Linked DNA regions of Callithrix jacchus. The main gene of each other region encodes a partner of the protein of the gene in region 5 in a complex. Links are inferred from orthologs where the notes say so. Each region holds a gene or a part of one and is shown on either strand. Other genes may lie near its edges.

Region 1 (4,663 bases), on a different chromosome or scaffold from region 5:
TAGATCTTCAAAATTGTTCTACTAATCTATAAACATACCCAGAAGAAAATATATTCTCAGACCTGTTATTCTCATTTAAGTCTTAATTCTTTCCCCAATTTTATTGCCAAGTGGTCTCTTGCTATAGGTATGTAACTTATTGAATTAATAAATGTGAATCACTGGAAGGCAACCTGATACAAGTTATTCTTGATTACAATCAATCTTTTAAATACGCTTAAGGGTCCTAACATCCAGCAGCCTTGGATTTAATGATCCTTAATTATTTCTCCCATTTACACTGTGTTTTTAAAAAGCATAATAAAGGAAAACATAACAGAGGTTTATTATATGTGACGAACTGTACTTTAAATAAATGTTGCTATTGGCTTTAGGACTTCTTGCACAAAGTTTATAGATTAGCAATACTAATACCTTAAAAATGCTTTTTGAAGGATAATTCTCACATGAGCTAAGCCCTTACATTCTACAGAATGAAGTTATTAACAATACTATGATCATGTAAATTGTCCATATACCCTTAGAACCTCATCTGATTTAAAAACTTACCAACTATATAGAATAAGCTTACAGAAATAAATGTTTCCATATCTTCAAGGAAAGGGATCTAAAATAGGTGAGAACATGATATATTTAAGGAAAAGAAAAGCAAGACAGGGAGGGTAAAGCACAGAAAACAAGGGGAGGAAGAGGGAAGGACCAAATTCCCCAGGGCCTCCTAGCCCAGAATACATACATTTTGGCATACTCATGAGAACAACAGGAAAAAAATGAAAAGCTTTCGGCTGGGAGATGGATCAGCTCTGCAATTTTAAAAGGATGGCTCTACTCGCTATATGGAGAGCGGATGGATAGCCGAGTGTGATGGGCACAGGTGGGAGTTAGGAAGTTGCTTCAGAAACCTAAGAGACCTAATGCTGGTAGCCTGGATCAGGGTGGCAACAGAGGTAGAAGCAAGGAGATAGATTCTAGCTGATAAAATCAATAAGACTTGAGGAATGATTAGATATGGCGGAAAGAAAAGAAGAGAGGTGTCAATGACATGTTGTTTTCCTACATTTATATACACGAAAATGCCAGTAACACACCTTGTACATTACATACCAAATTGCTAACCGAAGTTACCTGTGGACAGGGAAGATGAATTTTACAGTTAAAAGCAAACTTAAAAAAAAACACAGATATGTACACTGTTTAAATATTTTATAATCAGTAGGTATACATTGCCTTCATACTTAAAATCACGTGCAATTTGCCTGCCTGAAAAGGATAGGAATGGCATTTTAGGGAGAAGGAACAATCTATCCCAGAGCACCGACATTAAAGTACATGACATACTTGAAGAATATCAAGTGGTCTAGCGTTTGCAGCGTAAGAAGGAAAGAAGATGTATACTGGGACAGAGATGAGGAGAGGATTGGAGCTATTTCAGAACACAGCCAGATCATAAAGGACTTCTATCTGAGGCTAAAGAAACCATTCCTTAAAACGGTTTTCAAGCAAGAGAGTGAAAAAACATCAAGTTTAAATTTTAGAAAGATTACACAAGAGGTAGTATGAAGACTGAACCAAAAGGAGACAGAAGACAGGCTGAAACTTAAGCAAAATCAGGGGCAACAGATAAGAGAAGGCAAGAAATTCATTTCAGAAGTTGACAGGACTTGGTGATTAAGCTAATCCAACAGAGAAAAGGAAAAGTCAAAGAGGCTTCCATGGTTTCTAGCTTAGGATATTAGTGATGACATCAATTGTGATAATGCAAGAACAGGTGAAGTGAGAAAATTAACCATTTCTGCGTTGAAGACAATGAAGTTCAAATACCTCTGGAAGCAAGGCAAGGTACTCAACAAGAACTCAGAATATTTAAGTTTAAATTTAAAGAACAAGGTTGAGAATGGGAGCACATGAACACTATCACCCAGAGAAAATTTTAAGCCTGTAGACAGTCTTACCCTCAATGTAATTTCACTCCATCTTGAGGCAACTGTCAAGAGTTGACCAGTTCCATTTATTCTCATAGTTGTAGAAATTCCACAAAATTGTTAGTCTCCGTAAGCAGTAACTTTAAAAATCAGAGCTTTTTTGTTGTTTTTGTTGTTGTTCTGAGTTATTTTTCCCCTTTACTCTTTGTATTCTTTCTGTAAAACTATCTAGTTAAGGAAGATATATGAGGTATAAGGAAGCATAATATAAAAAAATTTGCTATTCTTATTATTTTGTCTTAATTGTAAAGGCAAAGAAAAGAACATTTGACTATTCTACCTTTAGCAAAACCTAAGTTAATAAGATTTACCTATGTGACTCTCCACTGATTTTCCCTTGCAAATCATCATCCCTTAATTAACCGACATCCCCAAGGCAGACAACCAAGCTGCAGCTTTAACCACAGAGGTTAAACAATTCAGTCCTGTTGTTGCTGTCAGAAATCCAAGTTACACTGTATCTTTGTCTAATCAATGATGCCCTGGTTTGGTGGGATATGGAGAAGAAGGACCTGTTGGCAAGGAAACAGCTGCTTTCTTCCTGAACAAGGGAAAACCAGTAAAGTGACAGATGGGTAGAGCAGAAAAGCAGCCAAAAATTGCATTGGCTCCTGGTTGGCAATCATTTTTGGAACTGAGGCACAACTGAATATTTTAAAGTATATCAACAATTGAGAGAGTATTGTTTACCTGGGTGCGCCGAAGTTCAACGAGCCTTTCCACACATTTTCTACATTTCAAAAACTTTTAACTTTCAGTAGTACAAAGAGCCTCAGCCTATGTATAGTGGGCAAAGACTGCAAGGCACTGTCCCATCTCACTTTAGGATTACACCCAAGCAAATGCACTCTCTGGTTAAAAAAAGAAAAAAGGAAAATTTTTACTTTCTCTATAGTGTATTTGTATGACTGACTAGAATTACTATTAAAATTTCATAAAAAATGTTTTTCTTAAATGTTTACTTTTATACAGTTAATTTGAAAGGATGTGTTGCAAACTTTTATAATTTGTTCTTTAATCATTTATCCTCCCGTCCACTTCTGTACCCAGAAAACGAAATATCCAAGAAATCCTGGGTAAAACAGACAACCACTAGATTGATATGTTATAACTAAAGTATTTAAAAGCTGTATAGTCAAGTTATTGTTCTTCATCAAATGGAAAACAGCAACCACTGAAAATAGCATTAAAAATTAGTGTGGGCATGAAGTATGAAATTGTTAACATCAGTTTACTATGCTGATTAAGTCAACATTTATATTTTCATCAGAACTTAATAATCCCATAAATAAATAGAGCTCTCAATTATTTAAAAAAATCAAGGGATAACATATGTATTTAGACATATTAGCAGCGTAAAGATGTATGCTTTAACACACTTATTGGGGAAACGTCTGAAAATATTACTACACTGAATTCAAGGGTATCCGCAGGAACCTGACATAGAAGTTCTCTAGAATAACATCATTTCAGGAAATATCAAAAAAGAAAAGGGGTCAAACAGGAAATAGCCTCAAATTAATCGACAAAGTTCAGTGCTTGCTCCAACTTGATTATTCTCTCTCTCCACTGCAAAAAGAGTCTCAAGATGAATCACTTAGACGAAAGTTCATCTAGTGGAATAAATGGAGAAGCCACTTGGGCAGGTGACACAGGAGAGTCGGTGGTAGTGCTGACTTTCGCTGGTGAGTTACAAGAAGATCCGGCACTGCTGCTGTTTCCATCAAGGGTATCCGAAGATACACACACACCAGGATCTGACAGCTGTGCAACGTCAGAAGAAAGCATGTTGGTGATGCCCTGGAAAAATCTCTTTGGCTGATATTCAGTTTCCATTTCACATTTTCTTTTCAATGGTCCAAGAACACTTGGTCTAATGCAATTGATAGGGCTCTGGCTTCTCCGGGTGGTAAATCGGGTCGTTGGGCTGGGAATAGGGCTTGGAGGCAATCCGTTGCTACTTACAAAACTTTGCAAGGATGGCGAAAAACACTGCTTCCCAATTCCCCGAGTGGGTGACGGTGCTGGTGACACAGGAATGAAATCGATGCGCTTGGGGGAGGCGGATTTCTCCACGTCGTTGTCACTCAGGCTGAAACTTTCCTCCCAGGAGTGGCTTATCTGCATTGCGGTCTGCACCTCCCGCTCGTGGACCGTCTCTCGGTTGATTAAGTCCATGCCCTCTTCTTGTTTGATCTGGTGCAAGCGGCTGCTGTGCATGCGGACAGGGGAGGCCGGTAGCAGCAGGCCGTGGCGGCTCGAGAACGTTGTGCTGTTCCGCCTGGCGCTCGGCGCCTCGGCCTGGAACACCGGCGAAGTGTCACTGAGGCCGTGGATGAGGGGGGCGCTGTTAGACCTCCTGAGGCCCCCGCCGCCGCCGCCGCCGCTGCCGCCGCCGCCGCTCTCCGCCGGGCTCCCGCCCGTACCCGGAGGCAGCTCCAGGTCTAGCTCCATCTTCTCCTGAGCCATGTCGGGGGCAGGGAGGCGGGGGAGGTGCTCAGTCAGGGACCTAAGATTCCCATTCCCCGCAGTCCAGAGCCACCGCCGCCGCCACCGAGAATCTGTCAGCGGGCTCTCCCCTCTGCGCATGCGTATCCTTTCGCGCAGGCGCCCGCGCTCTCCGTTGTCGCGGCGCCTGCTTAATGCGTAATATCTGCGCGGCAGTTGTAGGGGAGGGGCTA
Region 2 (6,012 bases), on a different chromosome or scaffold from region 5:
TGTCCACTAGGCATAGTGGCTCAAGACTATAACCCCAGCATTTTGGGAGGCCAAGGCAGGTAAAGCACTTGAGGCCAGGAGTTTGAGACCAACCTGGCCAACACAGCAAAACTCCATCTCTACAATTATTATTATTGTTATTTTTTGAAACAGAGTTTCACTCTTGTCACCCAGGCTGGAGTGCAATGAAAGGATCTTGGCTCACTGCAACCTCCACCTAGTAGGTTCAAGCAATTCTCCTGCCTCAGTCTCCCAAGTAGCTGGTATTACAAGTGCCCACCACTACACCCAGCCATTTTTTGTATTTTTAGTAAAGACGAGGTTTCACCATGTTGGCCAGGCTGGTCTTGAACTCCTGACCTCAAGTGATCCTCCTGCCTTAGCCTCCCAAAGTGCTGGGTTTACAGGCATGAGTGACCACACCTGGCCTACAATTATTAAAAACGCAAAAATTAATTAGGCATGGTGGCAAATGCCTGTGTTCCCAGCTACTTGGGAAGCTGAGGCAGGAGAATCGCTTGAATCTGGGAGGTGGAGGATGCAGTGAGCTGAGACCATGCCACTGCACCCTAGCTTGGGTGGCAGAGTAACACTTTGTCTCAAAAAACAAAAACAAAGACTATGAAGGTGGAAGTTATTTCCTGGAGGCCGTGTAAACCTAGAAGAGAAGAGGATCCAAGGACGGAACTGTTAGAATCCTCCCATTAAGAGGCAGGTTAAGATTCAACAAGGAGATTAAGCAGGAAAGGCCAGAGAAGTAGGAGGAAATCCATGAGACCAGAGTATCCTAGAGGCCAAGAGAAGGGACTTTTAAGAAACAGGGTGTCGGAGACCAGAGTGCCGTTTAACACATTAAGGTTCATAATGATGCAGAGCGGTGTTAGTTGGGAAAGAATGGCTTTCCAGACAGGTCCTCAAAGTGGAGTGTTGCCCATGGTAAATTCTCCATTTGACCAAAGTCTGCACCCCAGAAATTCAAACTTGCCCCCCTGCGAGTGTCACAATCAGAAACAGATTCTTTTCTTCCAAGGTCGCATAGCCAATTTAAAAAAAAAAAAAAAAGGCTGAGCGTGCTGGCTTACACCTGTAATCCCAGCATTTTGGGAGGCCAAGGTGGGTGGATCACTTGAGGCCAGGAGTTCAAAATCAGCCTGGCCAACATGGCGAAACCCCGTCTCTACTAAAAATACAAAAAATTATCCGGGTGTGGTGGTGGGTGTCTGTAATCCCAGCTACTTGGGAGGCTGAAACAGGAGAATTGCTTGAACCCAGGAGGCGGAGGTTGCAATGAGCCGAGATTGCACTACTGCACTCCAGCCTGGGTGACAGAGTGAGACTCTGTCTCAAAAAGAAAAAGAAAATAAAAGAAAGTTTTTTGTTGTTGTTGTTGTTGTTGTTTGTTTTTAATTGAGACGGAGTTTCACTCTTGTTACCCAGGCTGGAGTGCAATGGTGCGATCTTGCCTCACCGCAACCTCCGCCTCCTGGGCTCAGGCAATTCTCCTGCCTCAGCCTCCTGAGTAGCTGGGATTACAGGCACACGCCACCATGCCCAGCTAATTTTTTGTATTTTTAGTAGAGACAGGGTTTCACCATGTTGACCAGGATGGTCTCGATCTCTTGAACTCGTGATCCGCCTCGGCCTCCCAAAGTGCTGGGATTACAGGCGTGAGCCACCGCGCCCGGCCCAGAAATTTTTTTTTTTTTTTTAATTGCAGGACTTGGCAATTCAATTGGGCTAGCAGTTTCGGTAAAGTGGTGGGAGTGGACCCCCTGGGAGTGGACAAATGAATCTGTATTCCTTCGTTAGATATCTAGGAAGTGCTGGACCCTCAGAGTAAAATGTAAGTAATTACAGACGAGATCCCTGCCCTGGTGCGGCTTATCTGAGCAGGAGAGGTAACCTAAAGTCACAACAATTGTCTGATACAGTTCGTGTTGTTGAGGAACTGTTCAGGGCTGTGACGGCCTTTAAGAGGTGGCTCTGACCTAGTGCAGAGGCTTAGGAAGGAAAGGTTCTGAGGCGGAGACGCGGGTCCGAAGATGTGAAGGCGTGGCAGAATGGAGGAAGGAGCTTTGATGGGCCCAAAAGACAGCCTGTGTGGCTACGGTGCAGAGAGCAAAGAGAACCGAAAACCAGGCAAGGCTGGGGAAGTAGAAACAGTAAAGCTCCTAGAACCAGGGGGCCAGAGTGGACAGGAAAGGGCGGGGAGAGGCGGCTCCACTTAGAAACTACAATTCCCAGGAAGCATTCGGAAGCCACAGACGGATGTGAGGTGAAGCGGGAGCCGCGACCTTTGAAGGAAAAAAGGAAGTGCTTGGACGACAGCGAGCGGGAGAAGCGGGGTCAAGTAGGTAGGGGCGCGGCGCGAGACGGGCAGGCGGGCTTCGGCGAGCGGAGGCCTCGACGGGCAGAGCGCCCCACAGCTTCGTGTCATCATAAAACTGCCGCCATTTGCGCGGGCAGAGGCGGCCCGGCGGGCGTTGGGAGAGCTGGGCCGGGCGACAGGCGGGCCCAAGGCGGCGGCGGCCCGGCGGCCTCGGCCACCCGCTAATTCCATCTTTTCCCGGCGTCTCGTCTGCAGAGGGAGCAGTATGTCTGCGGAAGTCCCCGAGGCAGCCTCCGCGGAGGAGCAGAAGGTGAGTGCGCGGGACGCGGGCCCTGCCCAGGGTCGGGTCTGGCGGGCGGCCTGTTCGCGCCGGGCGGAGGGGCGCGCCCGGGATGCGGGGCCGAGGCACCTGCGCCTCACTGTTGGCTTCCCGCCGTCACTGGCTGGTGATGAGCGCCGACTAATTGGGAATTCCAACGTGCCCCGCGTTTTCTCCGAGTCGTGCTTTTTCCAGCGCCTCCGTGGGTCGGGTGTTCAGCAGTCACTTAGATTTACGCGAGAGCCCAGGACACAGCCCTTGGGCGGAGAGCCGAAGTTTTTCAGCGAGCTTCAGTTTGCTTAGGAAGTTTTATTTTTTTTTCCTTTGAAGAACTCTCCAACTACTTGTAAGCTTGCGGTTCACTCCAAAGGCAGTGCCTCGTGAGCGGGTCACGACGTGGGCCGGGATTGGCATTTCAGGGCCAACCGGTGTAACCACCGTGTCTTCACCTGTAAAGGCCGAATACTAGCGCTTGCTTCCCCTGGCGGCGGTGAGGCCTGGAGGAGGTCAGGCACGTGTCAGTGTTAAGCGCAGTCAGAGTCCAAAAAGGTTTCCGTCAATGGGACTCACCTACGGTACTTGACTAAAAATCGAAACGGTGGAATTTAAAAAATCGCGCCATTGCACTCCAGCTTGGGTAACAAGAGCGAAACTCCATCTCAAAAAAAAAAAAATTTTTTTTTCTACTCACGAAATTAATCAGGGTTTTATTGGCAACATGAGAATATTTTCTAGACGCATTTCTGTCTTGATGTAGGGGAATAGGCCAAGAGTGTCAGACTGGTTCAAATTACGAACATAAAGGATTTATCTTCATCTAGGCTAGCGTTTGTCTCTCCCATTATAATTATTTCCGCCGCCCTGCCCTCTTGGGTTGGTGTGACTGGCCGAGAAGTGAGAAAGGGCCTAGGTATCTTGTTTCCTAATAAACAATTTTTCTTACAAGTCAGGTTGTGTTGTCGTAAAGTACGATTTTGGTCTAATGTTTGATCTTCGTGCGGGTTTCTGCTTAATGTTTCACTTGTCCTCATTAGGTTGGGAATTGGGTTAGTTTTTTAAGCCCATTCCATGTTGTTAAAACCGTGTTAACTTGAGTTGTGTGGTTCTGTTAGGATGTTAAGGTAATTGAAGGGAAAAAACAAGAAAACAATAATAGCATAGATAATAGCCTAAGTTACCACATTATTTGAGAATATCCAGTGAAAATAGATATTTTTACACATTGCCAAAAAAAAAAAAATTGGGGGAACAATGCAAATATTAAGGATTGCAGTGTTAACAGTAGTATTAAGCATCAGCTGCTTATTGTAAAATGTTTGTGTTCATTATTGCTTGAAATTTAGCAACCCTCAAAAATAACAAGTCCCTATCCTGTGGTGTTTTGCCTTAAACACTGACATCAAACTTAGCATTAACTTAAGGTGCACAATAGTGTGCTATGTAATTTCCTTTGATAAGTTCTGTTAGTATGTTGCCAGAGGATGCAGTGTTGATTTCTAGAGTGTAAAACTTTGACTTGGAAAAGCCTAATGTATCTTTTAACAATATTAAGGGTAGCTCAAACGTTTTTCTTACTGTCTACATTAAACATTTAAGGTGTTTTGGCTTTAGCTGCTGTCATTAAAACCAACCAAAGTGTGTTAGGAATATCATGTTCCTTCTTAAATTGAGGATTGGCTGTAAATGCTAAGTGTCTGTGGCATGGATAGTGTCCCTAACTGTGAAGAAAATGTGCAAAGTCACTTCTATGTGCTGTTGGCCAAATCACCTTCTCTTTGGAAGATCGGTTTGATGACCTAAAAAATTGAGTTATTGTCTGTATACCCAATTGACCTTCCACTTAAAGCCAAACTATTCAGCTAAAAATACCTTTATAGTTTACTGGTTGCCTGTTGCCTCTGAAGAATTAAAGTAGATAGCTGGGCCCTCATGGAGTGAAAGCTAAGTCACTTTCTCTATATTGAGTAGCGTGTGCACCCTTGGTAAGAGGAGAAAACCAGATTCCTATTTTGTATTAGGATGCAATTAAATATGTACAAACATAAAAAATAAGTATAATTACTTGTAAACCACTCTAAAACTAAAACAGCCAGGCATGGTGACTCTTGCCTATAATTCTGGCACTTTGGAAGGCTGAGGCAAGAGGATCGCTTGTGGCTAGGAGTTTGAGACCATCCTGCTCAACATGGCAAGGTTTTGTCTCTACAGAAAATAAAAATTAGCCAGCTGTGGTGACATGCTTGTAGCCCTGTAGTCTTAGCTACTAGGGAGGCTGAGGTGGAAGGATCACTTGAGACCAGGAGTTTGAGACTACAGTGAGCTACTTTAAAAATATTTTTAAAAATTTAATAAAAGGCCGGGTGCTGTGCCTCATACCTGTAATCTCAATACTTTGGGAGGTCAGGGCAGGTGGATTACTTGAGGCCAGAAGTTGGAGACCAGCCTGGCCAACATGGTGAAACCCTGTCTGTACTAAAAGTAAAAAATTAGCCAGGTGTGGTGGCCCGCACCTGTAATCCCAGCTACTTGGCTGGCCGTGGCACAAGAATTGCTTGAACCCAGGAGGCAGAGGTTGCAGTGAGCTGAGATCATACCACTGTACTCCAGCCTGGGCAACAGAACAAGATTCTGTGTCAGATAATAAATACCAGGTGCAGTGCCTCACGCCTGTAATCCCAGCACTTTGGGAGGCCGAGGCGAGTGGATCACAAGGTCAAGAGATCGAGACCATCCTGGTCAACATGGTGAAACCCCGTCTCTACTAAAAATACAAAAAAAATTAGCTGGGCATGGTGGCACGTGCCTATAATCCCAGCTCCTCAGGAGGCTAAGGCAGGAGAATTGCCTGAGCCCAGGAGGCGGAGGTTGCGGTGAGCCGAGATCGCGCCATTGCTCTTCATCCTGGGTAGCAAGCGAAACTCCGCCTCAAAAATAAATAAATTTTAAAAAATAAATAAAATAAAAGTTGTCCGGTGTGGCCCTGTGGCTCATGCCTGTAATCCCAACACTTTGAGAGACTGAGGTAGACAGATCACTTGAGGTTAGGAGTTCGAGACCAGCCTGGCCAATATGGTGAAACCCCATCTCTACTGAAAGATACAAAAATTATCCATGCATGGTGGCGCGCACCTGTAGTCCCAGCTACTCAGGAGGCTGAGGCAGGAGAATCGCTTGAACCCAGAAGGTGGAGGTTGCAGTGAGCCAAGATCACTCCACTGCACTCCAGCCTGGGCAACAGAGTGAGACTCCATTTTAAATAAAATAAAATTTAAACTAAAATAGATTAAATACAAACAAAGCCAGTCTAAATTTTTGATTGTGTGCTTGGTATTTTGCTGAAACTAAATTTCCAATATATTGGCAA
Region 3 (5,845 bases), on a different chromosome or scaffold from region 5:
TTCAGACCCCAGAATGGTAGATCCACTGACAACTTGTACCATGTGCCTGGAAAAGTTGCAGACACTCAATGCCAGTCTGTGAAAACAGCCAGGAGGGAGGTCGTACCCTGCAAAACCACAGAGGTGGAGCTGTCCAAGACCATGGGAACCCACCTCTTGCATCAGCATGACCTGGATGTGAAACATGGAGTCAAAAGAGATCATTTTGGAGCTTTAAGATTTCACTGCCCTGCTGGATTTGAGACTTACTTGCATGGGGCCTGTAGCCCCTTTGTTTTGGCCAGTTTTTCTTATTTGAAATGGCTATATTTACCCAGTGGTTGTGCCCCCATTGTAGCTAGGAAGTATCTTACTTGTCTTTTGATTTTACAGGCTCATAGATAGAACTGACTGCCTCAGATTCAGATGAGATGTTGAACTGTGGACTTTTAGGTTAATGCTGAAATGAGTTAAGACTTTGGGGGACTGTTAGGAAGGCATGATTGGTTTTGAAATGTGACGACATGAGATTTGGGAGGAGGAGCCAGGGGTAGAATGATATGGTTTGGCTGTGTCTTCACCCAAATCTCATTTTGAATTGTAACTCTCACAATTCCTGTGTCGTTGGAGGAACCCAGTGGGAGGTGATTGAATTGTGGGGGCGGGTCTTTCCTGGGCGGTTCTGGTGACCAGAATGAATGTGTTTCACAAGATCTGTTTCTTTTAAAAATGGGAGTTTCCCTGCATAAGCTCTCCCTTTGCCTGCCCCTATCCATGTAAGATATGACTTGCTCGTCCTTGCCTTTCACCATGATTGTGAGGCCTTCCAGCCACGTGGAACTGTAAGTCCATTAAATCTCTTTTTCTTTCCAGTCTTGGATGTGTCTTCATCAGCAGTGTGAAAACAGACTAATATAATATCTAAGACTTAAAAAAAAACTAAGGTGAAATTTACATAACACAAAATTAACCATTTTAAAGTGTACAATACAGTGGCATTTAGTAAATTCACAATGTTATGCAACTATACCACCTATATCAAGTTCCAAAACAGTTTTATCACTCCCCCCCAAAAAACTCTATATTCATTACGCAGTTATTTTTTGTTTTCCCCCTAGACCCTGGAAATCACAGGAACCATTAAGTTAGACTAAGAAAACTTAAAGACATAAGTAGGTATTTAAAAAGACAGATTTTAGATGGCTGTATAATTGGTTCTAGTCATATAAAAAATAGTTTTTTTCAATAATCTCAATTCCAATTTTTATTAGCCATTTTATGTACATTGATAGCAAGTCCTGAAAATGGTAAAACATGTCCAGAATTTCTTTTTTTTTTCTTTTCTGAGACAGGGTCTCACCCTCTCACCTAGGATGGAGTGTAGTGGTGTAATCACAGCTCACTACAGCCTCAATCTCCTGGCCTCAAGTGATCCTCTCCTGTCAATCTCCTGAGTAGCTGGGACTACAGGCACATGCCACCATGCCCAACTAATTTTTAAATTTTTCTGTACAGATGAGGGCTCACTATGTTGCCCAAGTTGGTCTTGAACTCCTGGACTGAAGCAATCCTCCTCCCTTGGTCTCCCAAGTATTGGGATTATAGGCATGAGCCACAGCACCCAGCCCAGGGTTTCTTATACAGTCAATGTACAAATGCTCATTTACATTTTGCATAATAATGAAGATAAAAATGATACAACAGTTATGGCGACATACAAATATGTACAAGGATTCAAGACAGATTTTGTTATTTGGCTTATAACAATGTGTAGATACTACACAAAGAATGAGGATGTAATTTTCATTTACAAGCAAAATGTGACCAAAATCCCTTTTCTTCTTAAAAATAGAAAAATAAAATTCTTGAGAATACTAATTAGTGACAGCCAAATCTTAGACTATTTTAAATTAGCCTGGTTAAAAACAGGTGAGTTAAACATTGTGCCTTTCAAAAATTAAGGTTTGCAGTTAGAAACATAAAGATTTGATAAAAGTTCTCAAAATAAACTATGAATGGCTTATCCATACCCTCTGGATTCTGGACACATATTAGAAAAAGTAAATGTTAAAGAGGTGATATTTTGGAAAGCTGCATCCCTAGTACTGGAAAACATCTTCGGGAGTACCCAGTGGTCAAACACTAGCAGGAAACTCATGATGCACTAATAATACTGAGAACAAAGTTGGGGGAAGTAATAATCAGCTGTTTTACTGATGTATTCAATATATTAGAATTATGAGGCATGAGATGATATTTATGTGGTTTTTTAAACGTTTTCAAATATTCTTAGGGACTCAATTAGACATGACTGATAGTACGATGTGAAAAATAGTATACCATACATCATCAAGATGTTACCTTACTAACAGGAAATTTAGCTTTTAATAACTAACTGAATTTTATTCTACTGGGTTGAGAAGCAGCTGCCAATTTTGAGAACTACATGAGTTAACGCGATCATGCATGATTAAGTTAATGCCACAGAAACCAAAATGATAGTTTACAAAAGAAAAAGTAGCCCATTTTTTGGTTTGTAACATCAGGCTAATATGGCTTAGGGCTTAAAAGCAAGGATAAGGGTAGCACTGGGGCTCAGGTGCAAATCTGCTTTTGCTCAAGGAGAGAAAAGGCATGAGAAGGGGTGAGACAACCCTGAATGGTGGTGGCACCTGGATGTGTAATTACCACAGTGGGCCAGAGACAGGCTGGTACATCACCCTCTGGCTCAGGTACTCTGGGAACCAACCCTCTCCTTCAATTAAATTGAGAATACAAATATCTGAAAGCATGCTTACCAAAAGTAGATTATTTATCCTCATATTACAAAGCTCAGAAGAAGGAGACATTTATTTTTAAAAGAGAGCTAAAAAGTTACAGGGTTTCTCCTTATTTCATCTTGAAAACTAACCCAAGGAGCACACATTAAAAAAAAAATTCCTTGACTATTAATATTTTTAAAAGGCACTTAAAATATTCCTTTCCAATCCAACTTAAAATACATCTCTGTCAACCACATTTTGGGTATTAAAAGCACATAATTTTTGTGCAATTTTTTCTTATAACCCAGTGATATTTACCATCTATAGGGCCAAAAAGGTTTGAAGGACAGAGCTCCAACTTTCTGCAGAATGATCTGAAAGTGCTTTTATCACAGAAACAACAACATTAATGACTTGCTCTCTCACTGACAACATTCTGTAGTCGTTTCAGTAAAACATCATCATTTTCTTGACAGGCACGTTTGGCAGGGGATTCTGCATCACTATCGATGGCTATTGCTCGCTTCTTGGTTCTCTGCTCACCTTGCCTTATCATGTTGTTGATATCTTTCAAACTCTGTACAGAAACAGAAAGTGTGTGAATAAAAGAAGGAGAGGGAAAATGGCAGCAAACAACCAAGTTAATTGTTTTTTCCTGCGCTCTATCCTCTATCCAAATCTTAACAATGGGATAATGATTCTTTTTTAAAGTTAGAACAACCTAATAAGGGATGGCTAGAACTAATCTTTTCAGATAGTTTAAAAAATCAGATTTAAGGCCAGGTGTGGTGGCCTATAATACCAGCACTTTGAGAGGCCAAGATGGTTTGATCACTTGAGCCCAGGAGTTTGACACCAGCCTGGGCAACAGGGCAAACCCAGTCTCTATAAAAAATACAAAAATCAGCCAGGTGTGGTGGCTTGTGCCTGTAGTCCCAGCTACTCAAGAGGTTAAGGTGGGAGCATTACCTGAGCCTGGGGAGGTGGAGGCTGCAGTGAGCAGTGATCATGCCACTGTACTTCAGCCTGGGCAACAGAATGAGACCCTGTCTCAAAAAAAAAAAAAAAAAATTTGAATTTACTGTAGAACAGTAGTTCTCAATGCGTAGTACCCAGACTAGAAGCAGCAGAAGCTTTTTTGTTGTTGTTGCCTAGGCTGGAGTGCAGGGCACAATCTTGGCTCACTGCAATTTCTGCCTCCTGGATTCAAGCGATTCTCTTGCCTTAGCCTCCCTAGTTGGGACTACAGGTGCATGCCACCATGCCTGGCTATTTTTTTTGTAGTTTTAGTAGAGATGGGGTTTCACCATATTGGTCAGGCTGGTCTCGAACTCCCAACCTAGGGCGATCCACTTGCCTTGGCCTCCCAAAGTGCTGGGACCCAAAGTGCTGGGATTATAGGCGTGAGCCACCATGTCTGACTAATTTTTTGTATTTTTAGCAAAGACGGGGTTTCGTCATGTTGCCCAGGTTAGTCTTCAACGCCTGCACTCAAGCAATCCTTCCCTCTTGGCCTCCCAAAGTGCTAGGATTACAAGTGTAAGACACCTCGCCTAGCTGCTTTTCAACCTTTAATGCACTTACTAATTATTTAAAGATCTTGTTAACCTGCAGATTCAAAATTAGTAGGGCTGGTGTAGGGCCTGAGATTTTGGAATTCTCACAAGCTCCCAGGTGATCCTGATGTTGCTGGTCCATGAACCATACTCTGAGTAACAAGGTTGCAGAGAAGTGGTTCTTGAAATCCACGTATATAACAATTATAGGGAGCATGTCATAGAGTCCTAGACCTGCTAGCTGATGATTTGTTATTCACAAGGTCTGTGGGACAGGTATCTGCATTCAACAAGCTCCCCAGGTGATTCTGATTCATGATTTCAGAATCACTGTCTTAGAAGTCAAGTCAATCTTTGACTCCATGCAGCAATCTCTTCTGAACATCCTTATGGGAAATAAATTTGCAAAAGGAAGAAATATAAGTCCATGAAGAAGTGAATCTTTTTGTTTTTTGAGACAGGGTTCCACTCTGTCACCCAGGTCAGAGTGCAGTGGTGCAATCACAGCTCACTGTAGCCTCCAGGGCTCAAGTGATTTTCCCACCTCAGCCTCCTGAGTAGCTGGGACTATAGGTGCATGTCACCAAACCCAGATAATTGTTTTGCTTTTAAAAATTTTTTTGTACAGATGGCGGCCTGGTATGTTGCCCTTCAACTCTTGGGCTCAATCCTTGCCTTGGCCTCCCCAAGTGCTAGGATTATAGGCTTGAGCCACTATGCCCAGTCAGGTATATTATCCTAGTCAACTTTATCAAGTATAGTAGGAACTCTATAGGTATCTGTGTAACTGAATAACAAAGTAATGAGTTAAGAAGCAGCCACTGTATTTGGACTGAGTTACAATGTGCCCCACTACAATTTCTTTCAGTTTATACTGATTTTGACTTCTGGAAACATACTGAACATATCTGCTTGATAGTCCATAAAGTATGTGAAAACAGCAATTATGTCCATCACATCTTCATTGTTGAACAGGGATAAGGATGGAGATAATCACAGAGTTGTCTATGCACATAAGAGGAGGCTTCTGTTTTTAGACATTTTCCTGGTTACCCTCCACTAAATGCACTTTCACATCCAACACCTTTCTTTACACTTGACATCATGCCCCATGTCTGACCACGTGCAGGTATTGCCTTACTGGTCCCTTTTCAAGATCTTGCTTGAACAGAGAAACATGCTGGGGACTTTCAAAGTGAACTCCACAAAGACCATGTCAATAATAATGGATTAAACTACCTCAAACTGAAGACACTGCTCTTGATGAGAGGAGACATGCCATAGTTAGCAGTTCATATTTTGTTAGCACAGTAGTAACTTGGTCAAAAAAAAAAAAAAGAGGCAAGATTAACAATTGTTGACTGTTAATCTGAAATCCAACCTTTAACCTATGTATGTATGTAAGTTGCTTTGGAGTAAAGCCTGTATCACCTTACCTTAGAAGGGCTACCATTGAACTTGTACAGCAGAGCACTTCTTGGTGTAAGGCCTGACCCATTCTTGTGAGGGGAAACATAAATGGAGTGCTGTTGGGAAATGCGGCGCGGC
Region 4 (5,859 bases), on a different chromosome or scaffold from region 5:
AATTCTCCTGTCTCAGCCTCCCGAGTAGCTGGGCTAATTTTCTGTATTTTAGTAGAGACAGAGTGTCACCATGTTGGCCAGTATGGTCTTGATCTTCTGACTTTGTGATCCACCTGCCTTGGGCTCCCAACATGCTGCAATTACAGGCATGAGCCACTGCGCCCTTTATTTTATTTATTTTTGAGACAGAGTCTCACTCTGTTGCCCAGCTGGAGTCTAGTGGCGCGATCTTGGCTCACTGCAACTTCTGCCTCCTGGGTTCAAGCCATTCCCCTGCCTCAGCCTCTCCAGTAGCTAGAATTATAGTCGCCACACCCAGCTAATTTTTGTACTTTTTTTTTTTTTTTAGTAGAGATGGGGTTTCACCGTATTGGCCAGGTTGGTCTTAAACTCCTGACCTGAAGTGATTTGCCCACCTCAGCCTTCCAAAGTGCTAGGATTACAGGCGTGAGCCACTAGGCACAGCTGATTATCTTTATTTTTTAATTAAAAAAAAAGGCAGCACAGTGAAGTGAAATAATTTTCCAGAGGTCATGCAGCAAGTGAAAGGCAAATCTGGGATTCCAACCCAGGAAGACTGCCTCCACAGTCTGTGTTCTTAACCATTGCTTCATAGCAATGGTTAAGACCAATAACTTGCAAAGAAGAGAAAAGAGAAGAGAAAAATTCTTGCATTTTTACTCAATATATGCTACTTGGTTTTGTAATTATTTGTGACATTATTTTATCTCTTTCTCTATGTAAGCTGAAAATTCCTAGAGGGAAGGAGCTCTGGGGTCTCAGAGCTGCTACCTCAATTACCATCAATTGTGGGCACATCGCATCCCCTGGAGATTATGAATTGGTCATGATCAAGCCCACTCTTCACTGGTATTTTTCCTAAATAAATTCATTGCTTGGTCAACCCCTGGGGCAGGATCAGGCCCGGGGTTCCACATGGACTCCAAGAAAGCAGTGCTTAGTTTTCTCATTCAGATTGTGGCTGAGAGTTGTCATTTATCTTCTGTATAATAAAGCAGATGTGTATGTGACTTCCCCCTTTCCGCAGTGGAGACACTGAAGCGGCCTCAGGTTCTCAGGCAGGTCTGTGGTGGAGTTTGCTGGAACTAACTGGAACTGACTCTATGTTTCCAGTCCAGAACTCTGAGCAACCCTGTGGCAATTCTGCCCTAATACACTTATAAGGACCAGTAGATGGACTAAGGTGTTGACAGACCACAAAATTCTGGAACTCCCTTGCCCTGTATTTTTACCTTGACACAAAATGAAATTATGACATCATCATGGGAACACAGGACTTCTCTCTTTGTATTTTCAGAACTTGCTCGATTTTTCCAAGGGTACACTGGTCAGTCCTTGTAATGGAAAAAAAAAAAAATCATTGTGGAGAACCTGTAACACCTTCCACCTAACCTGTTTGATAACTAGCTTTGCTCTACAATCTGGAGAACAAAGTGAAAGATGCCAGCTTTAGACGACAACCAATAACTTTGTATCTAGACACAATTCCTTGATAAGCCAAAAAAGTAGCCAAAAACTTCTAGAATTCCCCTTTTCTTTAGGGTTAGAACTGACAGCTGCTAAGAGTGTATGTGACTCTATTAGGGAAAGCGGCTCGTCCAAAAATAATAACTGCCAAATACCGTGCAGTAATGCTATTTGTTATCCAGAAGTGTCCTACGCCGCGTATAGCCACCATCTCTATTTTAGAGTTGAGGGGGATGGCTCACAGGTGTGGCTGGCCTGGAAACCGTGGCGTGGCTGGTGAGGGCGGGGTCGATCACGGAAGGATCAGGACTTCATGGCAGAGCAGAGTCCACCACCACACTCGGATGAAAGTTCAAAGATTTTGTTCGCTTTGTTTCTGGCAAGCCATCACACAATCCTGAGTCTGTAACTCTAAACAGTAGCGCCCACGAGCACAGCCCCCGACCCGCACTCCCCCCGGCCCTGGTTGGCGGCCGCACACCCACACCGTAGCCCCCTTTAAGAGCCTGCTCCGCGGGACTAACGTTCGAACGGGCCCTGGCGCCCCTCCTCGGGCTCCGATTGGTCGTGCGCGGCGCACGAGGGCGCGCCGGCCAGCCTCAGAACGGCTGGCATCCCTTCGTGATTGGCGGTCGCGGAGCCTATATAAGGCACGGGACGGCCGGGCTGCCTTGTTTAGCGACCGGACCCGGAGCTGGGCGCTTGTCTGGTGTGGAGCGGCCAGCGGGACAGCGCGCGCGTCACCGCAGTCGTTTCTCTTCGGAGTCTTAGGCGATCGAGGGTGTACCCAGGGGCGGACTTGTTTGTGTTTCCCGTCCCCTCCCGGCTTCCGAACGTGACACCCCGTCACCCCGGCGCCGGCGGCCGTGTGCAGGGGACGCAGGATGGAGTTCAAGCTGGAGGCTCACCGCATCGTCAGCATCTCCCTGGGCAAGATCTACAACTCGCGGGTCCAGCGCGGCGGCATCAAGCTGCATAAGAACCTCCTGGTCTCGCTGGTGCTGCGCAGCGCCCGCCAAGTCTACCTGAGCGATCCGTGCCCCGGCCTCTACCTGGCGGGTCCCGCGGGGATCCCGGCGCCGCCGCCGCAGCAGCTCGGGGAGCCGGCAGCCGGGCCACCCGCCGGCTGGGGAGAGCCGCCCCCGCCTGCCGCCGGTGCCTCCTGGGCGGATACGGAGCCACAGCCGGAGGGCTCCGCGGTCTCAGAGGCGCCGCGGGTGGGGGACGCGGTGCCGGAGGCCACGGTGACCGGAGTCGGGGTCGTTCCTCAGGGCGGAGCCGCGGACGCGGCGAAAGCTGCCTGGAGCCGAGTGGAGGGGCCTCGCCAGGCGGCGGCCGGAGAAGCCGAGGGTCCCGCCGGAGGCTGGGGTGTTTTCCCCTTGGGGTCTCGTGCCTCTCGCCGCCCCTGCGGCTGCCCCCTAGGCGGGGAGGACTCGTCGGGTACACCGGCCGCGACCCCCCGCGCTGCCTGCTGCTGTGCGCCGCGACCCGCCGAGGACGAGCCTCCCGCGCCGCCAGCCGTGTGCCCCAGGAAGCGCGGCGCGGCGGGGGTGGGCGGCGGCCCAACGAGCTTCCCGGCGCCCGGCTCGACCCCGCTCAAGAAGCCCCGCCGGAACCTGGAGCAGCCGCCGAGCGGGGGAGAGGACGACGACACGGAGGAGATGGATACCGGGAACGTGGCTAACCTCATCAGCATCTTTGGTTCCAGCTTCTCGGGACTCTTACGGAAAAGCCCCGGGGGCGGCCGGGAGGAAGAGGAGGGAGAGAAGAGCGGTCCGGAAGCCGCCGAGCCCGGGCAGATCTGCTGCGATAAGCCGGTGCTGAGAGACATGAACCCCTGGAGCACAGCCATCGTGGCCTTCTGAGCCCCTGCCTCCGTGCGGGGAGGAGGTTGAGCAGCGGGCGTCCCCGAAGTGAGGGCCGGGACCCTCCCGGCTGCAGGGACGCCCAGAGACCGCAGGCGCTGAGCGCGTTGGGCAGACTGGTCGCCGCCGGGCATCGCAAACCGCCCCCGGGCGCGGGGGCCCTGCCGGCCCGGGACTCTCGAGGCTTTTCTGGAGACCAGGGAGCTTGAGGCTCATTGGAAGAGGACGATTGTTAACTTTTGTGTTTGTGTATGTCAGTGTGTGTAAGTTTGTCTTGTGGCATTAAGACTATTTTGTCCTTCTGGAATGCACCACTCCTTCCCCGGGGCTTACGAGACTGGGGGCAGACAGGGACTTTCCTCTGCCTACAGCGTGGAGAAGGAAGCGGCTAAAAGGTTTGGGCCGGGGAGTTCCCCATTCGTTCTCCGGAGAGCGAGGGACTTTACACCCACCCCTCACCGGAAAGCTAGACCCGCTTCAGGGCCAGGAGTGGCGTTTCCGCACAGGATTTCCTAAGACGAGAGGGATTTTAGCCACGAGCACCGACTTGAATTCCTTCCCTCCCTCCCCACTTTTCTTTCCCAATGAAGAAACGCTTATGTCCTGTGATTACTCTAGGAAAGGGGAGTATTAACGGCCCTTCGCTTCCCCGCAGGGGTGAAAAAGCTTGATGAACTTCACAGAAGAGTTCAAGCTTGGAAATACGGAGTTTATAGAGAAAAGATATATTTTTAAAAGCTCTAGGTCAGAACTACTACACAGTGCTTTTAAAAAGTGTTTAATGAAAGTTTACAGACAGAAGCCCTAAGTGAAAAGACCTTATGGTTTTGTAGATAAGGTGACTCCAGTCTTTGTTGTATAAAGGTTGGGGGAGCTGATAAGGTTTTTGTACAGTATTTTCTCCTTCGTTGTATTGATTTTTGTATAAAAATGTAACTTCTACGTGTCTAACACGTATTAAATATTTTGAAGCAACGTAACTGCCTCCTTGTCTGTAATAACCTGCCTGGGTTGGGAGGGAAGTGGGAGGAGGGAAACCAGGGCCTGTGCTAGAAAATTGAAGGTGTGGTTCTTGGTATCAGTCACTCGCAGACTGAGGACATTGTTTACTGACTCCACCAAGTATCAAGAGAGACACGTTTAGTTTTTTCTTCTAGATCAGAGGGCCGCTATTAGATAGTAATATCACCGACCTGCCAGGGTCTTGAAACCTGCCATTACAACTGCCTTTTGTAAGGTCAGTTTAGGCCAATTTGACTGTCACCAATACATGGGTGTCCATTTTATTAAGTAATTTAAGCAACTTTTGAAGCCCTGCTCATCCACAAAAATGTTTTTCAGCTTAGTTTCCTGTTATATGGATCATCTTTTCGCTTTATTATTGAAAAAAATTTAGATAGTAGTAGACCTTAAAAGCCTGATGCAACCGACATAGGAAGCTGAAAGAGACTGACTTGTCCAAATTGTCAGGTCCCCCTCTGCATCTCAAAGGGTGTCAGGATGTAAATGTTCAGTTTTTCTCATCTATAGAAAGGAAATGTATAGGTGAAAGGGAAACTGCATCAAACGAGATAAGGAAGGAGGGCATTCTCATTTAGCAAAACTTCCTGATTTGTTTTTGTTACTCAAAAGGTGACATCAGTGTTTGTGTCATGGTAGAAACTTAGGTGATGACAGCCAAAACATTCATTGATTTTACTAAAATCACTGTCATTAAGAGAGCTTTCTGTCTCTTCATCTTCAGTGTTTGAAAGGTATTCAATTTATTTCAGAAGCAAACCGATTAGGGAATGTTTATTAAAATACGGTACAGTTGCCAGGACTTCTTATGGTACTGGTTTCTAACAATTTATGAGTAGGGTGTTTAAAAGATGGGAGAGATTGAAGAAAGAGACAAAGCTTTAAAGGTCATAGCCTTCGAGCATAAGAAACATGAATGGTGCATTGGCCTTAACTGTGAATTATATGAACTTCTGTCATAGCTGAATAGGCCAGTGCCTGGTGCCTTGATATTTCGGCAACTCTATTAGCAGTCACTTAAGCCTAGGGACCTTTCTACTTCATGCTCTGTCACCAGCATAATGTGTTTATAGAACTAACATTCTCAAAGTAGGATCTTGTTAAATCGACTTTTTCTTTCAGAAAGTAGCTACTTAAATGCTGTTATGGCTATGAAAGATCCATCAAGTGCTGACTGCTTAAACTGAAGAAGGTGTCCAGCGCCTTAATTCTGCAAACATTTCCTGTTGCTACAAAGTATGATGCTTGAACAGCAATTTCAGTGTATTTTATGTTTGAAAGGGGGTAACGTGGTGTGTTTAAGAGAGCTGATGTGTTTTGGATGAGACTCAAGTTGATCCTTGGTTTCACATTAAGATGAACCTGAGACCATGTGTCTGCTTAAAGATATAAATTGGCATACTTGATAGGAAGATAAAGCTTTGTAGGAATTAGAAAAGATCATTCTCTTTTTTGTTGTTGCGGAATTGTTGCAGAAGCAGTATTG
Region 5 (5,835 bases):
TGGTTAATTCATTTCATGCAGGAATGGAGGAATGATCATGCAGTAGTGCAGTTGTACCTTTGGAGGAATTTCAGGTATTGTGTTACAGTTCCACTGTTTTAGAAATCAAGAATATGGTAGAAAGTGGAGATGGTGGGGGCTGGGCGCAGTGGCTCATGCCTGTAATCCTAGCACTTTGGGAGGCTGAGGCAGGTGAATCATGAGGTCAGGAGATGAGATCATCCTGCCTAACACAGTGAAACACCGTCTCTACTAAAAATACATAAAATTAGCTGGTTATGGTGGCGTGTGCCTGTAGTCCCAGCTACTAGGGAGGCTGAGGCATGAGAATCCCTTGAACCGGGGAGGCGTAGGTTGCAGTGAACTGAGATGGCGCCACTGCACTCCAGCCTGGGTGACACAGCGAGGCTCTGTCTCAAAAAAAAAAAGCGGCAATGGTGGAGAGGATGTATAAATACCTTAAACTCCCCCTTCTTGGTCTCCAAACGCCTTTCTCACTCCATTCAGCCTTAGGCCAAATTCTGGATGCTTTTGCAGGTGGTCTTCATGTGTAAAATGTGCATATCTATCTCCTAGGAGTATTGTGGAGATGGAATGAGATATGTAAAGTGTGCCGTATATAGCAACTGCATCATTAGAGCATCTTTCAGCAGAAGTGCACATCCCCTCTTAGCTGATGACTGGCATTTCCTGTTCATTTTTTTCCTTCTACCTCTTAACCTTACTGACGATGCTTTCAATACAAATCTAATAATAACGGCAACTAACATTTATCATGTGCTCAAATTAAGTCATTTCATCTCACCAACAATCCTATCAGGTAGGACTGTCATCTTCATCTGCTGAGCCTTGGAATCACATTAGACAGCCTGGCTTCAGAGCCCAGCTTTTTTTTTTGGTTTGGTTTAGATTTGAAAGGAATGCATTCTGTCGCCCAGGCTGACAGCTCACTGCAGTCTTGACCTGCTGGGCTCAAGCAGTTCTCCCACCGCAGCCTCCTGGTAGCTGAAACTATAGGCACGCCATCATACCTGGCTAATTAAAAAAAAAAAAAAAAATTATTTCTTTTTTTGGTAGAGATGGGTCTCCCTATGTTCTCCAGGCTGAACTTGGAACTCCTGGCCTCAAGTGATCCTCCCGCCTCTGGCTTCCAAAGTGCTGGCACTACAGGCCTGAGCCACCGCGCCCCACCCTGAGCCCAGCTCTTAAGCACGGATTCCACCATTGTTTATTTAGCTGGAGAGACCCAAGCTACTTCTCGGGCCATACCCTTCTCATCGCAAACTCAGGTTTCTGTTAGAAACCACCCTTAGTGGCCGCAGTGCCCAGGACTCCCGTCTTGGTTCCTGGGGCCCACGCGAAGGTCATTTAATTCACCCAGATGGAACCAGCCCAAGCGTGTCCCTCTGAACCCCGTGAACTTTCATCCCGGCTGAGCAGCGAGTCTGCACTGCTGTCCCTTCCTTTGTGGAGTCAGGGCTGGCGCAAAGCGACACTTTCCTAAGTAGCAATACGGGTATTCTCAAAAAAGGCACAAGACCCCAAGAATTCCTGCAGACGAGCACGTTAACTGGACAGCTGAGCCCGCCCCAGAGCCCCGGCGCTAGCGCGAGGGGCTGGGACACCGCGAGGCGCAGACAGCCGCGGCCCGGCGCAGGAGGAACGGGCAGAGGGGGCGCCACCGCGAGACGCGGGCGCGTCACAGGCCGCACCGGCCAGGACGCGGAGGGCGGGGCAAGAGCGCAGCAGGAAGGGGGCGTGGTCAGGAGCCCGCCCGGCCTCTCCCCCGCCCCTCCCCCTCTGCTCTCCGCCCAGCCCGGCGGCTCCGCCCCCTTGGTGACGTCACTGACCAGGCCAGCCGGCGCCATTTTGAAAGTGGAGTCGCCTGCCCCTGCCGCTGCCGCCGCCGCCGTCGCTGTCGTAGCCGCCGCCGCCGCTGCCGGAGAAAGAGCACGAGCGGGGAAGCCCTAGAGTGAAATCTAGCATCCTGCCGGCTGCTCTGCCCGCCCCTCCTTCCTTTTCCCCCAGCCCCTGTCCCCTCCCCCCGCAGGTGCCATCCGCCGCCATCCGCCCTCTCTACCCCCCCATCCCCAGGTGAGGGGGGTGAGTTCAGGAAGCGGAGACCCCGAGGAACCCCGCAGGGTCACCATTTGCAGCGCAACATGGCAGGTAAAGGAGAAATTCCCCTTGCCCCCTGACAAGGCACCGTTTCCTTCTTCCTCCCTCCATCACCCCCTAGCGACCGCCCGCGCCTTGCGCGGAGCCACGGGGCGCCCCTCGGGTTTGAGGGAGTGGGGTCCAGGGGGGTGGGGTGGAGGCGGGGAGGACTCCGGGGAGGCGAGTGGTCGCGGCGAGAGCCACTGGGCTTGGAGAACGGAGCTGGCGCCGTGGCGGGGGTGGGGGTGGGGTGTGCCGGCGAGCTTGGGGTGAGGCGTGGGTGGGGCGGGGTGGGGGCGCGTGCAGATTTGTCTCTCCCGCTCGGGAGCCGGGTGGATCCTCTCCTACCTCGCCCCCCGTCTTTATTTTCATTTTATCCTGCAGGTCTTCATTTAATTTCTATTTCCCCCCCTGCTGCAAACCTTCTTGGGTGTATATACACATTATTTTGCACTGAGAAAGAAGAGCGCCTTACAAGTTAAAATGCAGTGGGGCCATATGTGTCTTTTTTTTCCCCCACTGTGGATGCCAATATTTTTGAGATTGGAAGCCTAAATTTTTTGTTTCAAACCATTTCCTTTCCGTTTCTTTCCCTCTTACCACCGAAGAGTGCAAGGCCTTTCATGTACAGCAAGTTGCATGAAAAACATAATTTCAACTTTCCGTTTAACATGTTAGCTTTTTTGCAGATGTCCTTTTCCCAAAAGGGTTTGGTAGAGTTAGTTAAAATAGTTGCGGAGTTCAGAGATATAAATAGCAAAGAGGAGAGAGATTTAGGTAGAAGCTTTGGAGGGGGGGGGAAAGGATGTAGAGAGAAAACCAGTTTGGAAATAAATTTAGCAAGGAATAGGGGTGACAGGGGAGAGAGAAGTAATGTAATTGCTTTGAGAATTCTTTTTGTACATGTTGGTGTTGCTAAGTCTTTTCCTTCATGTAGTAGAATGGGTTCCAGATTTAGATTCAGTGTCTTTCTCCCTAGAGTCTCAGGACGTTTTCACCATTTCGTTCTCAGTACTTGCACGTGAAATAGAAACATTCCGAGATTAGACCAGTTTACCGTGCTGTATTCATTACTTAGAGAATTAAACCATTTGAAAAAGTTAACGTGTCGGATTGACTTACGGTTTGCTATAAAACAAGTTGCTTGTTGGCCGTGTTTAATGATGAAATGAGATTAAAATTGTTTTGCACGAGATGACATACTAGCGAAATGAATTATTTGCCAGGTCCTTCGGAGTGGAGGGCTGAGGTGAAGGGAGGCAGAACAGGCTTCCTTTGACAGTCTCTTTAGCAGCATTCATTTTGGTTTCTTTTCCTCTCTGTCTGGAGCCAGTGATTTGCTGGTAATGAATGCAAAGAAATGGGTGTAGTGTTTGCTGTGTGTGCACTTTGGTGATAGGGTTCATATGAATCATTACTCCTCACCCAGGCAGTAATGTTCCCGAAGTTTTCTCTCCGTTCTATGTTTCATGGTAGTTTAACCTTATTAACTCTTCTGCAGGTTTTTTGTACACTTAAAAAGAAAACTCTTTAACTCTTGGTATTTACACTTTTCTGGTAGGTCTTGCCTGAGTGTAAGCCTTTTAAGATATTTGAGAGGAAGGGAAGTTTGTGAACAGATGTATGATGACCACAGAACATACGCCTTTAAAGATTTCATACCTGGAACCTTTTTTTCTTTTTAATACAGTACTAACTATTGGGGACTAACCTTTTTCCAAAGTGGTGCTTTTGGTGGTGGTTGTATGTGTGGGCAAAACTAAGCTGTTAGTGTCATGATCATGCCAACCGTGGATTGTTTACGAGAGTCAACATGAGCAGAACTCAGTTTTAATTGGTATGTTTTCTTTCCAGGAGCTGGAGGAGGGAATGATATTCAGTGGTGTTTTTCTCAGGTGAAAGGAGCAGTAGATGATGATGTAGCAGAAGGTAAGAAAGCATTTAATAATGCAAAATTTGGATATATAATTTTTTCAGAAATCTTTCCTGAGGGATTTCCTTGAAGCCAAGACTATTAAAAATTCAAGATGATTTTGTGTTTATTGTCCAAGAAATGTAAGAACAGTTTTAAAAGTTACGTTTCTGAAATACAGCCTTAAGTTTCTTTTGTAATTTATGCCTTGTTTTTATTTTTTACTCTGAATTTACGTGAAAGGAGCGATAGATGATTAGACATATAGAATCGTCACATGAAAGCTCTGAGCTCCATATAAGGGTTTCTTTGTTATATAAATTCCACATAGAAATAAATGGTGATGCATTTTTGTGTTTGTACATTGTTTTTAGATAAGTAAATTGAAATAGGTGCCATCAACATTTGGCTCAGAAACATTCTTAGCAGCATCTCTAATTTTTATGGGAAGATTCTTAACCTCTCTTGACTTTGCCTGCTGTGGAATGTAGTGCTGATTGGCATAGTCTGTGAAGAGATGACAGCTCACATTATTCATTTTGTTGTCTTTCTGGTAATTAGGTGGATAAGACAGTAACTGCTATGCATATATCGCTTGTCTTCTAGAAAGCTTCTATTGCTGGTGCAGGTAGAAACTGTGTTTGATCAATTGAAGTACTTATGTCTAATTTTCTCCCCAAATTTGTTGACTGATGTGTTTCAGAAGTTTTATCTGAGTTTTGAAACTTCAAGGTTGTGCATTTATTTGAGATGGTCTTAGGCAGCAGAGGCATTTCCCATAAACTAGTTGCATTATTTCATTGCTCAGAAGTGTTAAAATTTGAGCTTTAATAGTATTCTGTGTCTTGAATTACAGTAGGAATTTTTCAAACAAAACTCAGATAAATTTAAACATGTACTTTTTGAGTTTTAAAAATTTGGTGAAAATGCACAAACTTTTTTCCCCTAGATTGTGTTGTCCTCATATTTCTGACCTGTCTGTAGAGTACTGTTTGTTTTGGAGATTTTTTTTCAGGTGGTGGGTGGTAGGAGATGGCTTTGCGTTTAGCCAGCCAAATGCGTTTATTTGCTTGTGTCAGTGTCATTCATAATGAAGTATCTGTTTTAGAGTGTGGTGAATCCTATGGGAAGCCAACTAGCATAAGCTATATTTGTCATATTTTGCAGAGCTCTCATGTTCTTTTCCTGTTGGATCCTCATCTGTTTCTTAGACAAGAAACCAGTAACAAAAGAGACTGACTGATGGTCATACAAATAGTATAAATCAAGGTTTTCTGGTGAAGTCAGTGGTGTTTGACTTGTTTAGAGAAATAAGTCCCAACTTCAGGGGAGGAGTTGTGTATTACTCATGTTGTAACTCCATTACCTGTTGAATAGTAGACACTCCAGTATTGGATCGTTAGTTCTGCGCTGTTGTGTAATACCAAGTTTTGAAAGCACTGTATACTTGGAAACTGTTCTTTGGTTGAATTCCATTTACTCCCTTAGGAAAGGTCCCTTAAATGCTGAGCACTGAGGATACTTGTCTAGAACATGAACTCTGCCCACAAGGAGCTCATAGTTTGCTTGTTAAACATTAGGCGGAAAGACCACATGGCTTTTATTTAATCAGAAGAAATTGATATTTCAAACTGAACATCATTTAACTGAACCAAATAACTTATGATACACAGTAAGTCCTCACTTAATGTTGTCAACAGGTTCTGCAACTTTAAGCAAAGAAAGCAGCTTAAAACAAAATCATTTTTGTCAATACAGTAACAAAA

The links.
Region 1: the proteins of PPP2R2A (region 5) and PABIR1 are in contact, whole or in part, in a cryo-EM structure (PDB 8SO0), measured with the Homo sapiens proteins. The link is inferred for Callithrix jacchus from reciprocal best matches to the Homo sapiens genes PPP2R2A and PABIR1. Residues at the interface, in NP_002708.1 of Homo sapiens: Phe84, Leu87, Lys88, Ser89, Leu90, Tyr178, His179, Asp197, Met222, Glu223, Leu225, Thr226, Glu227, Val228, Tyr337, Asp340, Phe343; in NP_612206.5 of Homo sapiens: His81, Ser82, Ser83, Arg84, Leu85, Ile88, Lys89, Glu92, Arg99, Glu100, His103.
Region 2: the proteins of PPP2R2A (region 5) and ARPP19 are in contact, whole or in part, in a cryo-EM structure (PDB 8TTB), measured with the Homo sapiens proteins. The link is inferred for Callithrix jacchus from reciprocal best matches to the Homo sapiens genes PPP2R2A and ARPP19. Residues at the interface, in NP_002708.1 of Homo sapiens: Lys18, Gly19, Ala20, Asp23, Asp24, Asp29, Ile31, Thr45, Asp47, Gly49, Arg51, Val53, Phe55, Val73, Thr76, Gln78, Glu81, Pro82, Glu83, Phe84, Leu87, Lys88, Ser89, Glu91, Glu93, Tyr178, His179, Asp197, Leu198, Asn221; in NP_001293124.1 of Homo sapiens: Lys42, Pro43, Gly44, Ser46, Phe48, Leu49, Arg50, Arg52, Leu53, Lys55, Lys58, Tyr59, Phe60, Asp61, Lys75, Pro93, Asp97, Leu98, Pro99, Pro103, Leu105, Val106, Ala107, Ser108, Lys109, Leu110, Ala111.
Region 3: the proteins of PPP2R2A (region 5) and RBL1 are in contact, whole or in part, in a cryo-EM structure (PDB 9C6B), measured with the Homo sapiens proteins. The link is inferred for Callithrix jacchus from reciprocal best matches to the Homo sapiens genes PPP2R2A and RBL1. Residues at the interface, in NP_002708.1 of Homo sapiens: Lys88, Tyr178, His179, Asp197, Leu198, Met222, Glu223, Glu224, Leu225, Thr226, Glu227, Val228, Ser247, Arg278, Ser279, Phe280, Phe281, Ser282, Glu283, Ile284, Ser287, Tyr337, Phe343; in NP_002886.2 of Homo sapiens: Ser615, Pro616, Leu617, Met618, His619, Pro620, Arg621, Val622, Val625, Arg626, Ser629, Leu632.
Region 4: the proteins of PPP2R2A (region 5) and IER5 are in contact, whole or in part, in a cryo-EM structure (PDB 8UO5), measured with the Homo sapiens proteins. The link is inferred for Callithrix jacchus from reciprocal best matches to the Homo sapiens genes PPP2R2A and IER5. Residues at the interface, in NP_002708.1 of Homo sapiens: Glu91, Ile92, Glu93, Glu94, Asp116, Tyr178, His179, Asp197, Leu198, Met222, Leu225, Thr226, Glu227, Val228, Thr230, Ser247, Phe280, Phe281, Glu283, Ile284, Ser287, Cys334, Tyr337, Glu338, Asn339, Asp340, Phe343, Lys345; in NP_057629.2 of Homo sapiens: Ala7, Arg9, Ile10, Ile13, Ser14, Lys17, Arg25, Gly26, Lys29, Leu30, His31, Lys32, Leu34, Leu35, Val36, Leu38, Val39, Leu40, Arg41.

The regions. Positions count from the first base shown.
Region 1 is NC_133502.1:96,165,916-96,170,578, forward strand, and holds part of PABIR1 (PPP2R1A-PPP2R2A-interacting phosphatase regulator 1), read right to left. Parts: 5' UTR 4,572-4,663; coding exon 3,576-4,571; 3' UTR 1-3,575. UniProt on the Homo sapiens protein: Acts as an inhibitor of serine/threonine-protein phosphatase 2A (PP2A) activity. Inhibits PP2A activity by blocking the substrate binding site on PPP2R2A and the active site of PPP2CA.
Region 2 is NC_133509.1:40,253,217-40,259,228, reverse strand, and holds the start of ARPP19 (cAMP-regulated phosphoprotein 19), read left to right. Parts: upstream 1-2,298; 5' UTR 2,299-2,350; exon of another isoform or gene 2,351-2,354; intron 2,355-2,584; 5' UTR 2,585-2,594; coding exon 2,595-2,639; intron 2,640-6,012. UniProt on the Homo sapiens protein: Protein phosphatase inhibitor that specifically inhibits protein phosphatase 2A (PP2A) during mitosis. Inhibition of PP2A is enhanced when ARPP19 is phosphorylated.
Region 3 is NC_133506.1:2,311,999-2,317,843, reverse strand, and holds the end of RBL1 (retinoblastoma-like protein 1), read right to left. Parts: coding exon 5,734-5,845; intron 3,319-5,733; coding exon 3,148-3,318; 3' UTR 1,216-3,147; downstream 1-1,215. UniProt on the Homo sapiens protein: Key regulator of entry into cell division. Directly involved in heterochromatin formation by maintaining overall chromatin structure and, in particular, that of constitutive heterochromatin by stabilizing histone methylation.
Region 4 is NC_133519.1:39,362,966-39,368,824, forward strand, and holds IER5 (immediate early response gene 5 protein), read left to right. Parts: upstream 1-2,161; 5' UTR 2,162-2,372; coding exon 2,373-3,353; 3' UTR 3,354-4,328; downstream 4,329-5,859. UniProt on the Homo sapiens protein: Plays a role as a transcription factor. Mediates positive transcriptional regulation of several chaperone genes during the heat shock response in a HSF1-dependent manner. Mediates negative transcriptional regulation of CDC25B expression.
Region 5 is NC_133514.1:15,257,710-15,263,544, reverse strand, and holds the start of PPP2R2A (serine/threonine-protein phosphatase 2A 55 kDa regulatory subunit B alpha isoform), read left to right. Parts: upstream 1-1,851; 5' UTR 1,852-2,162; coding exon 2,163-2,169; intron 2,170-4,011; coding exon 4,012-4,086; intron 4,087-5,835. UniProt on the Homo sapiens protein: Substrate-recognition subunit of protein phosphatase 2A (PP2A) that plays a key role in cell cycle by controlling mitosis entry and exit. Involved in chromosome clustering during late mitosis by mediating dephosphorylation of MKI67.